Arabidopsis thaliana: one gene and its partner. The protein of the gene in region 2 interacts with the protein of the main gene of each other region in a pairwise test. Each region holds a gene or a part of one and is shown on either strand. Other genes may lie near its edges. The genes, in order: AT1G25510 and SWEET1.

Region 1 (4,915 bases), 1.4 Mb from region 2:
TTCAATACCTTACTACTGTCTTTTGGAGATTTACCATTAGCCTTCAAATCAGCATCCTATAATTAAAACACAAGAACGTCAAGCCACAAAAGCATTTATCTAAACGTGAGAGCGAACATGCAGAAAGAAGAAACAAACCAGTTCTGCTTCGACTTCAGCCAATTCTTCCGAACCCCTGCCAACAAAGTCAGATAATCTGAATATCTTGGATTAAATCATCCTTATGACAACAAAATATGATGAAGAAGTATTACCCTCCTCCTTCTTTGAAACCGTCCCACAAAGACCATAGCCCAAAACCAAAGAACAACAATGTTGTTATGTGATGAGTCCATTTGCGAGAGATCTGAAGGTGAGGGTTTGAATCAGTATTTACTATTTAGTAAGAAAAAAAGGCTTATGTAGAAATACAAAATAAGTTGAAGCCATACCAGATTAGGAGCAGCCCATCCAAGAGTAGCAGAGAGGATAGTCATAACCTAAGAATTAAACAAAGACATAAGCTTCAAAATCTATGGAGAGAGGTCACTGAAACCAATAGGTCAAAGCATTCAGAAAAACTTACAATCAGAGCCGATAAACAACCAGCCAACACAAGTCTCCTAGGATAACGCATAGCCAAAATCTGATATGACAAAAAAAAAAAAGAGTTTAAGCTTGCAAAATCAAGATAACAACAGAAGTATCTTACACACCTTCAAAGAGCCTGTGGCAGATTCTAAACTACCAAAACACTATGAAACTGAATGGCAATATAAAAGCTACAGACAAAGGATCCAAAGATGCCATCTAGATTCTTAATCAGGAAAAGGCAATCCAATAAGTAAGACTTTAGACTTCGATTCATGTAAAAGCCATTGACTTCATCGACCTTAAACCCTCAATAGATTACATGAAGCAACAAAATCTAAAACTAAAGCGAAGAGGAGACGAAACACTTACTGCTGCAGCGAAAAACGTCTTGTCACCAATCTCCGATACAAAGGTCATAGCAAGTGACTTCGTAAAACCCTATAAAACCCCAACAATCATAAACCCAGATTAGCTCCACAACGATTCTTACGAGTTTACTCCCCAGAAAACATTAATCTTTTACTCTACCTGCAAAACCGAGCTCATGGCTGCCGAATTATAAAATCGACGGCGAATTAGCTACGAAGGAGAAGAAAAAAACGAAACTTTCGATTTTTCTCCGGCTGTGTTACAAAGAAGACGGAGTGATCAATCGCCGGAGTTAATTAACAGTCGTCGAGAGAGAGCAAATAGACGAGACGAACATTCGCTGAAGAGCTAAAAGATGAATCCTTTTTTTTTGGGGATTGTAGGTGAATTTGATTCTGATTCTTTAACCCTTAAGATCTTACCACGTGGATTGATAACAACCAACGATTTTAATGTGTGGGACCCAGAAAACCCAACTTGAGTTTAGAAGATGTTAATTTGTTCCCTTGTGTTGTTGTTTGCGACTTGCGTCACTTGCTCGAGCAAAACAATAAAGACTTTTACTTCTTTGATAACTAACTTGTCGCGATCACGATTGAGACGTAACGTTTAGAATAGTATAACACGTAAGTTTTTGAGAGATGCTCAAAACTGATTGGGTATTTTAGTATTTTTCGCTTATCTCAACTAAATTTTATTTCGTTTTATCCTACTATTTTATACAAATAAAAAAAAATTGACCGATTTCTGATTGGTGGCGAATTGATTCGCAAACGTATGTAATTATATTTGATTTGATCCAACTGTACTTATATTAATATTAATTTATTTAATTCTAAAATTGATGAATAACTAAAATCAGGTGGCAATATTCTATCTATCTCAACTGCATATCATGTTAAGCTGAGATTAGAAGTGTATTTTAGAATTTATAGTTTAGATTTAGGCAGCAAGGTTAATGAGTTAATGTAGTAGACTTGGGGTATGAAATGGCCCAAACATCCAAGTTAAAAGCCTAGATAAGAGTTACCCACAGGCCCATGAGGGACCATAAATTCACCATTTTTAAGTCAGCAAATTCCTCCACATTGTTAATACCTTAACATGATATGCATATGTATGTTTTTTTGTTGTTGTCAGATTGCGTATGTATGTATTGGTTTACAGTTATAGCTTTCTTTTTAGGTTAATTGTTTAGTATCATATAGCTTTATAGACATAGGTCTGGATAAAATGAAATAAGTGAGCTGTTATAATTTGAATGAAAGTCATCATTAACAAAGCTAAGCTCATAGCCAAATAAAATTTGTCAAAGTGCGAAGATGTGAAACACTCAAAAGTGGCTGACTTAATAAAATCTAAAACAACAATCTCCACACTAACCGCATTGAGATCATAAAACAAGTTTATTTAAATCCTCACACTTAAAGAGGATGAAGAAACCTCCTCTTCCTCTTTAACCATTTATCTAATCTTTGGATTAATTCTTCAAGAAGAGATACTTACTTATATAAATCTCCTCGAAATCTGCAAACCCCCAAAACACAGCTTGTCTTTGTTTTAATTAAAAGAAGCTTTTGTCTCATTTTCCCTTCCCCACCAAACACACTTTTGTCTTCTCTTTAATAAACCTCATTCACTTCATCTTCTTCACTGTTAACGGTCGGAATCTAAAAAATGTCTCCTAACTACTCCTTCTTCTTCTTCATCTTCTTCCTCACTTCACACTCTTCTGTTTTCTCCAGAATCTTACCAGAGACCTCCACAACCACTACCTCAATTCTCAATGTCGCTGACTCCATCCACAGAACCAAGTATACGTCGTCGTTTCGGTTAAACCAGCAAGAAGAACAGACTCACTCTGCTTCTTCTTCTTTCAGCTTGCAGCTTCATTCACGAGTTTCCGTCCGAGGAACTGAACACTCAGACTATAAGTCACTCACACTAGCCAGACTCAACCGTGACACAGCCCGAGTCAAATCTCTCATAACCCGTTTAGATCTAGCCATCAACAACATATCCAAAGCAGATCTCAAACCCATCAGCACAATGTACACCACTGAGGAACAAGATATCGAAGCTCCTTTAATCTCCGGCACGACTCAAGGAAGTGGCGAGTACTTCACACGCGTCGGTATCGGAAAACCGGCGCGTGAAGTTTATATGGTTCTAGATACTGGAAGTGACGTGAACTGGCTACAATGTACTCCTTGCGCTGACTGTTACCACCAAACCGAACCAATCTTCGAGCCATCGTCGTCTTCTTCTTACGAGCCTCTCTCTTGTGACACTCCACAGTGCAATGCCCTTGAAGTCTCAGAATGTAGAAACGCCACGTGTCTTTACGAGGTTTCTTACGGTGATGGTTCTTACACCGTTGGAGATTTCGCCACCGAGACTCTCACAATCGGCTCAACTCTAGTTCAAAACGTCGCCGTTGGTTGTGGACACAGCAACGAAGGGTTGTTCGTCGGCGCCGCCGGTTTACTTGGACTCGGCGGTGGTTTGTTAGCTCTTCCGTCGCAGCTCAACACGACGTCGTTCTCGTACTGTCTCGTTGACCGTGACTCAGACTCGGCTTCGACCGTGGATTTCGGGACTTCTCTTTCTCCTGACGCCGTCGTGGCTCCGTTGCTACGTAACCACCAGCTCGACACGTTTTACTACCTAGGCCTCACCGGAATAAGCGTCGGCGGCGAGTTGCTTCAGATTCCTCAGTCTTCTTTCGAGATGGACGAGTCAGGCAGCGGTGGGATCATCATCGACTCAGGAACCGCCGTGACTCGTCTCCAGACCGAAATCTATAACTCGCTTAGAGACTCGTTCGTGAAAGGAACGTTGGACTTGGAAAAAGCAGCCGGGGTGGCGATGTTTGACACGTGTTATAACCTTTCGGCTAAGACGACGGTAGAAGTCCCGACCGTGGCTTTTCATTTCCCCGGCGGGAAGATGTTGGCTTTGCCGGCGAAGAACTACATGATTCCGGTTGACTCGGTGGGGACATTTTGTTTGGCATTTGCACCGACGGCGAGTTCACTAGCGATTATCGGAAACGTGCAGCAACAAGGGACACGTGTCACTTTCGATTTGGCAAATTCTCTCATTGGATTCTCGTCTAATAAATGCTAAGCTGTTTTCATCAAAAAAAACAAAAATGCTAAGCTGTTTTTTCTATAAATATATTTGAGTTACAATGAAAAGGAAAAGTCACTTAAAAGATAGTAATGTTAAGTTAGAGTACTGTACTACTGTTTGGTTGTGTTTGTTTCTTGTACTTGTTGTTGCAATGCATAGAGTGAAAAAGAGTAAAAAAAAGATGGAATTTGTTTTTGCTAATTTTATGATTAAAGAGTAGAACAATGAATCTTGAGGGGCCTTGTTACAGGTCACATCACACACGAATGAATGACTCCTTCTTTTCTATGACGCATGAATACTCGTAGTGTTGAGAGTTAAAGCCCAAATACAATGTGTGATCGAAGAAGTTAAGCCCAAATACAATATGTGATGTGATACAAAATAACAAAATCTTTGTAAACCAAGAAACGAATGATTGAAAATACAATCTCTTATATGAGTTATGATCATGAAAGTGTAATCCCTAGTACTAACTGATATGAAACAAAGAAAAAAGTGATATGTTTATGGAAGATGAATTTACACAAAACTAAATTAACTCTGGTGATATTCTATTGGATATGTTTAATGAACTCTAATCATTCTATGTAAACAGTATTTTTTAAAAGAGTAACATGGCACAGAGATTTATATTATCAAAAGAGAAAGAAAAAAACATGGCACAAAGAGAGGTGGCGAAGTCATGGTGCCACTACTTGCCATCACAACATATGAAGTGGCAGCTATGGGTTCAATCATTTTGTCCTTAAAAAAAAGCTTTATTTTCCTTTCTCCTTTTTATATGTCAACCTTTTACTTTCTCCTTTGTTCATCCAAAAACATTCTCTTACTTTTA
Region 2 (4,404 bases):
GCTTGTCACGGTCGTTGAACAAGACGTGAACACAAACACTTCACCGTTCTTTCCCAGATTCATAGAGGCTTACGAATACTACTCAGCAGTTTTCGAGTCTCTAGACATGACACTTCCAAGAGAAAGCCAAGAGAGGATGAATGTAGAAAGACAGTGTCTCGCTAGAGACATAGTCAACATTGTTGCTTGCGAAGGAGAAGAACGGATAGAGAGATACGAGGCTGCGGGAAAATGGAGAGCAAGGATGATGATGGCTGGATTCAATCCAAAACCAATGAGTGCTAAAGTAACCAACAATATACAAAACCTGATAAAGCAACAATATTGCAATAAGTACAAGCTTAAAGAAGAAATGGGTGAGCTCCATTTTTGCTGGGAGGAGAAAAGCTTAATCGTTGCTTCAGCTTGGAGGTAAGATAAGTGACAAGAGCATATAGTCTTTATGTTTCATAAAACATAATTATGTTTTTACTGTAATCTTGGGTTATTGTGTAACTGGTTAAATCATCTCCATGTATTATTACCAGAGGTTAGGGGTGATCACAGGTACTAAAAGCTAATCTAACACTTATGGAAGAATTTTTCTTTCTTTTTTTTCCCTATTATATAAAAATAATTAGAGTTTTGGTTCTAAACCTATTTGCTAAGTGTGAATGAGTCTTTACATGTTCATATTTCAGTTCAAATGGTTAAATTTGTTAAGGTTCTCACTTACTATTAGGCTTATCAGTTTTAACTCTTAAACTCAAAAGCTCATTAGATCCATAAAACTCACAAAAGGCATCGTCATTCTTCATCAATCACTAGTGTATCAGTACGAAACTAGGAAACGTTACATTTTTCAGCATCATTTTTTTTACATTCCAACGAAACGAAAAGGAAAACTCTAGTTAAGCAGAGTTAATACGAAATCACATAACCAAATCATCCTCAAAAGCTCTTTTAAACTTGAAGGTCTTGCTTTCCATTAACCACATTCTGCTTCTTCTCATCATCTTTCATCTCCACTGACTTCTCATCTTTCTGAGCATCTGCAGATTTCTCTCCTTTGTTTCCACAGTAGATGAAGTATAGTATCAATTGCAGTGTCCCTAATGCACATCCAAACCCATTTGGGATCTTCGCAACAACAAAAACCCAAAGTTAGAAACAAAGTTTTGATATTTACCAAAGAAAACAACACAAGAAGGAGAAATTGTAACTTACTGCAACAAAAGGGTCACGACCGATTAGACCATAGACGAACCACGAAGTACCACAGAGGAAGACAAAGAGTGACAAAAAGAATGGCATAAACTCTACACTCTTCGTCTTTACCACCAATCTCTGTAAATCAATGAACCAAACACAAAATTTAACAAAATGAATCCAAAAGTAAAGAGTAGAACTTTAAAAAGATCCAATCCTGAGTTTGCTTACCATGATGGAGAGTGGAGAAGCGTACATGATGATGGAGAAAACAGTAGCTGCGAGACCACAAAAGAGTTTTCTACCGTTTCCTTGAAGAGCAAAGAGAGAGACGAGAGCTACTGTTGCGAATACAGCCAAAACGCAAGAGAAGATACCAAAGATCTTAATTTTCTCCTTCTTTGGTGCGTAGAAAAGAAAGATTAACACGTAGACTGTTTCGATCACTGCTCCTGTGCCATTGATTGTGCTCACAAGTGTGTTGTCTTTTGACACAAAGGGAAGTCCATACCTGAAAAAAACAGAGAAACGCAGAAACAGAGGAAGTAAGAAACAGAGCTATACTCTAATGGAAGATTAAAAACGTAAAAGAGGGAATTTTTTTTACCAAGCAGAGAGGAGACAGTTGAGGAGAGTCATTGGATAAGGGATACCAGAGAATTGTTCAGTGGATTTGTTCTTGATGATTCTCTTGAATGTTATCCTAATTTCATTCACGAACAAAAAAGAATCTTGAGTTTTTTTTTTCCAGAACAGAACAACAAGAAATCGAAAGAATCATAAATCGGTTCACTATAGAAGAGAGAAGTGATACGTACGAAGGAGCCAAGAAAAGAAACAGAGCAGTTGCATTTCCTGTAAAAAGTAGAAAAACGACAAAAACGGATTAGTAGTACTCTCAGTGATTTCTCATGGAAGAAAGACGAAGAAGATAGAAAGACAGAGAGAGAGGTTGAGGAAATGAGTTGCTACCGAAAACGCCGAAGATAGTGTGAGCGATGTTCATCTTTTGATCTCAAAGGTGGCTAAAGATTCTTCTTTTTTTCTTGTTCGTAAGCTGAGAGAGAAAGTGAGAGAATATGAGCTAAGTGTTTTCTATCGGCAAGCGTATATATATCGAGATTCAGCGTGTGTTAACCGCTTCACTGTGGAACACCAATAATTACAAAATTAATAAAAGTATAATAAATTATGAAATAATGGTATTAAATATTAAATTTTAAAAATACATGGTTCTGTTATTAATTTTTGTAGTATGAATAAAATTTGAAAAAAAAGTTATGGTTAAGAACTAATGTTTTGAGAAAACCTAAGTTTTAAATTTGAGTTAATTGAGTTATTTCTTATATAAAAAAAAAAAAGTTCCCATGATTTTGAATTCTAGTGTATATATACAGATTTTTTCTTGATACCAAATTAATTTTTGGAACGAGGTTTTTTATCTGTTACTTGTTTTTACGTCCTCGAGAGGTGAACCTGACTCTTTGGATCGACGTTTCTTTTGTAGATAGTTATAGAGATATGGTTAAATACTTAAAAATGAAATAAACACCTAAAAAGAGCAATGTCTTTTCTTCTTTTGTTTTTTGTTTGATACTAAAAGTAGCTCTGAACAAGCCAGAGTGTTCTGGGCTTGACGTTGATATGTGACTCGAGGCCCGAGCCTGTATTTTCTGCGGGGCAGTGGCTAGTGGTTCATCTTCTCCATGATGTGTTACTTTTTTTTTTTCGTTGCCCTCTTTAATAGAGATTCTAGATAAAATTTGACAGTTTAGGAAGTTTCTGGTTACATAAGCGAAACCAAACCTAACAAACTGTCAAGTTTATTTAAGGGCACCAATAAGTTTCACTAAATTTCAGTTATTCTATACCGTTGAACCACAGCCGCAGGATATACTTTTTAGTATAGTGAGTGATCTTTTTGGAATGTTTTCTAGTCACCACGAGTTAGCTTATTCAGCTTTACCCAAACCATATCGGTTCATTCATGATCATTTTAACCGGAGTAAAACCAACAAAAAGAACATTAGGTTATGATTGTGAGGCTAAGGTTAATGGATCAACGTCGGTAGATGAGTTGATTATTGAAGATGACCAAATTTGTTGAATTTTTTTTTTTTGTAGGAAAAAATCATGAAATTGGCTGTTCTCGCGTACGTGTTCATTATATATTTTTAATACGTCTAGTTCAAGAAAACAATTTAGCTATGTACGCAGTATTTAGCTAAAATTCAAGAACCTATCATAAGTCCACTGCAAATCTAATTTAGTTTATGATACCGTATTTCATCAAATGGCAGATTTTTATCAACCCATTTTTTCTTTTTTGTCGTTGGCTACATCAATATTTGTTGAGATTTTGATATTTACCTAGAACAATGTGATCTAATTACTATATGAAGGCAAAACCAAAATTTAGCACAGTAACATGATTACTAGACTGCTAGATGATTCAGTCTGCATACTTTTATGCTCTCTCATCTTTTGTGAGTTGAAAACACCTTTTAACTTGTTATCCACAATAGTCTTACTTTTAAATCCGAATCTAAAATGCAGAAGCTTGAAAATCTTTGGATGTGGACGAACAAATGCCATTATATATTAAGCTTTCACTAGGTAGGCACAAATTATCTGATAATTGTAATAAATTATCACCAAAAACAAAGAAAATCGAGGATTGAGGTTTGGTTTGAGTCCGACGTCAATGATTGAAAGCAAAAGAGTACTGAACTAGAGAGAAAAGGAAAAGACTATCAGAAGAGTGAAATGATGATGACGTTGGTATCAGCAAGCACCACATGGCATGGCACAACTCTTCACACGAGTCACGTAGCTCTTTCCTTTTCCAGACATATTCGACCTTCCTTGTCCAAGTTGTCCTCTCTTTCAAATTTGTTTTTTTAATAAGAAATTGGACCACTATTGTGTACTTTTTGGTTAGAAGGATCGTTAATATCGAAAAAATCAGAATGAATGGAACAAGCGGAATAAATAATTAACATTTTCTCGTTTTATTAAATTTTAGTGTATTCATTCATTTTCGATTTTATTTTGTAGGTGATCACACATCAATATTTAAATAAGAGTTTGCCTAATACATATATACAAGTGACCTAACGATTATGTAACTCTAGAGACGATGAAAAAAAAGTCACCTAACGTAACTTCTACTACCTTAAAGATAAGCTCTAGAGACGAGCAATAAATATATACAAT

The links.
Region 1: the proteins of SWEET1 (region 2) and AT1G25510 interact in a protein complementation assay, tested with the Arabidopsis thaliana proteins (one large-scale study listed by BioGRID).

What each region holds. Positions count from the first base shown.
Region 1 is NC_003070.9:8,958,528-8,963,442, reverse strand, and holds AT1G25510 (Eukaryotic aspartyl protease family protein), read left to right. Parts: upstream 1-2,259; 5' UTR 2,260-2,619; coding exon 2,620-4,071; 3' UTR 4,072-4,356; downstream 4,357-4,915. Other genes in the region: AT1G25520 (Uncharacterized protein family (UPF0016)), read right to left, coding at 9-56, 139-175, 255-346, 432-479, 566-625, 943-1,011, 1,102-1,119.
Region 2 is NC_003070.9:7,511,088-7,515,491, forward strand, and holds SWEET1 (Nodulin MtN3 family protein), read right to left. Parts: upstream 2,395-4,404; 5' UTR 2,195-2,394; coding exon 2,161-2,194; intron 2,044-2,160; coding exon 2,007-2,043; intron 1,892-2,006; coding exon 1,796-1,891; intron 1,700-1,795; coding exon 1,420-1,699; intron 1,327-1,419; coding exon 1,207-1,326; coding exon of another isoform or gene 1,165-1,206; exon of another isoform or gene 1,123-1,164; intron 1,120-1,122; coding exon 943-1,119; 3' UTR 663-942; downstream 1-662. Other genes in the region: SCL1 (SCARECROW-like 1), read left to right, coding at 1-415. UniProt on the Arabidopsis thaliana protein: Mediates both low-affinity uptake and efflux of sugar across the plasma membrane. Can transport glucose, and, to a lower extent, mannose, fructose and galactose.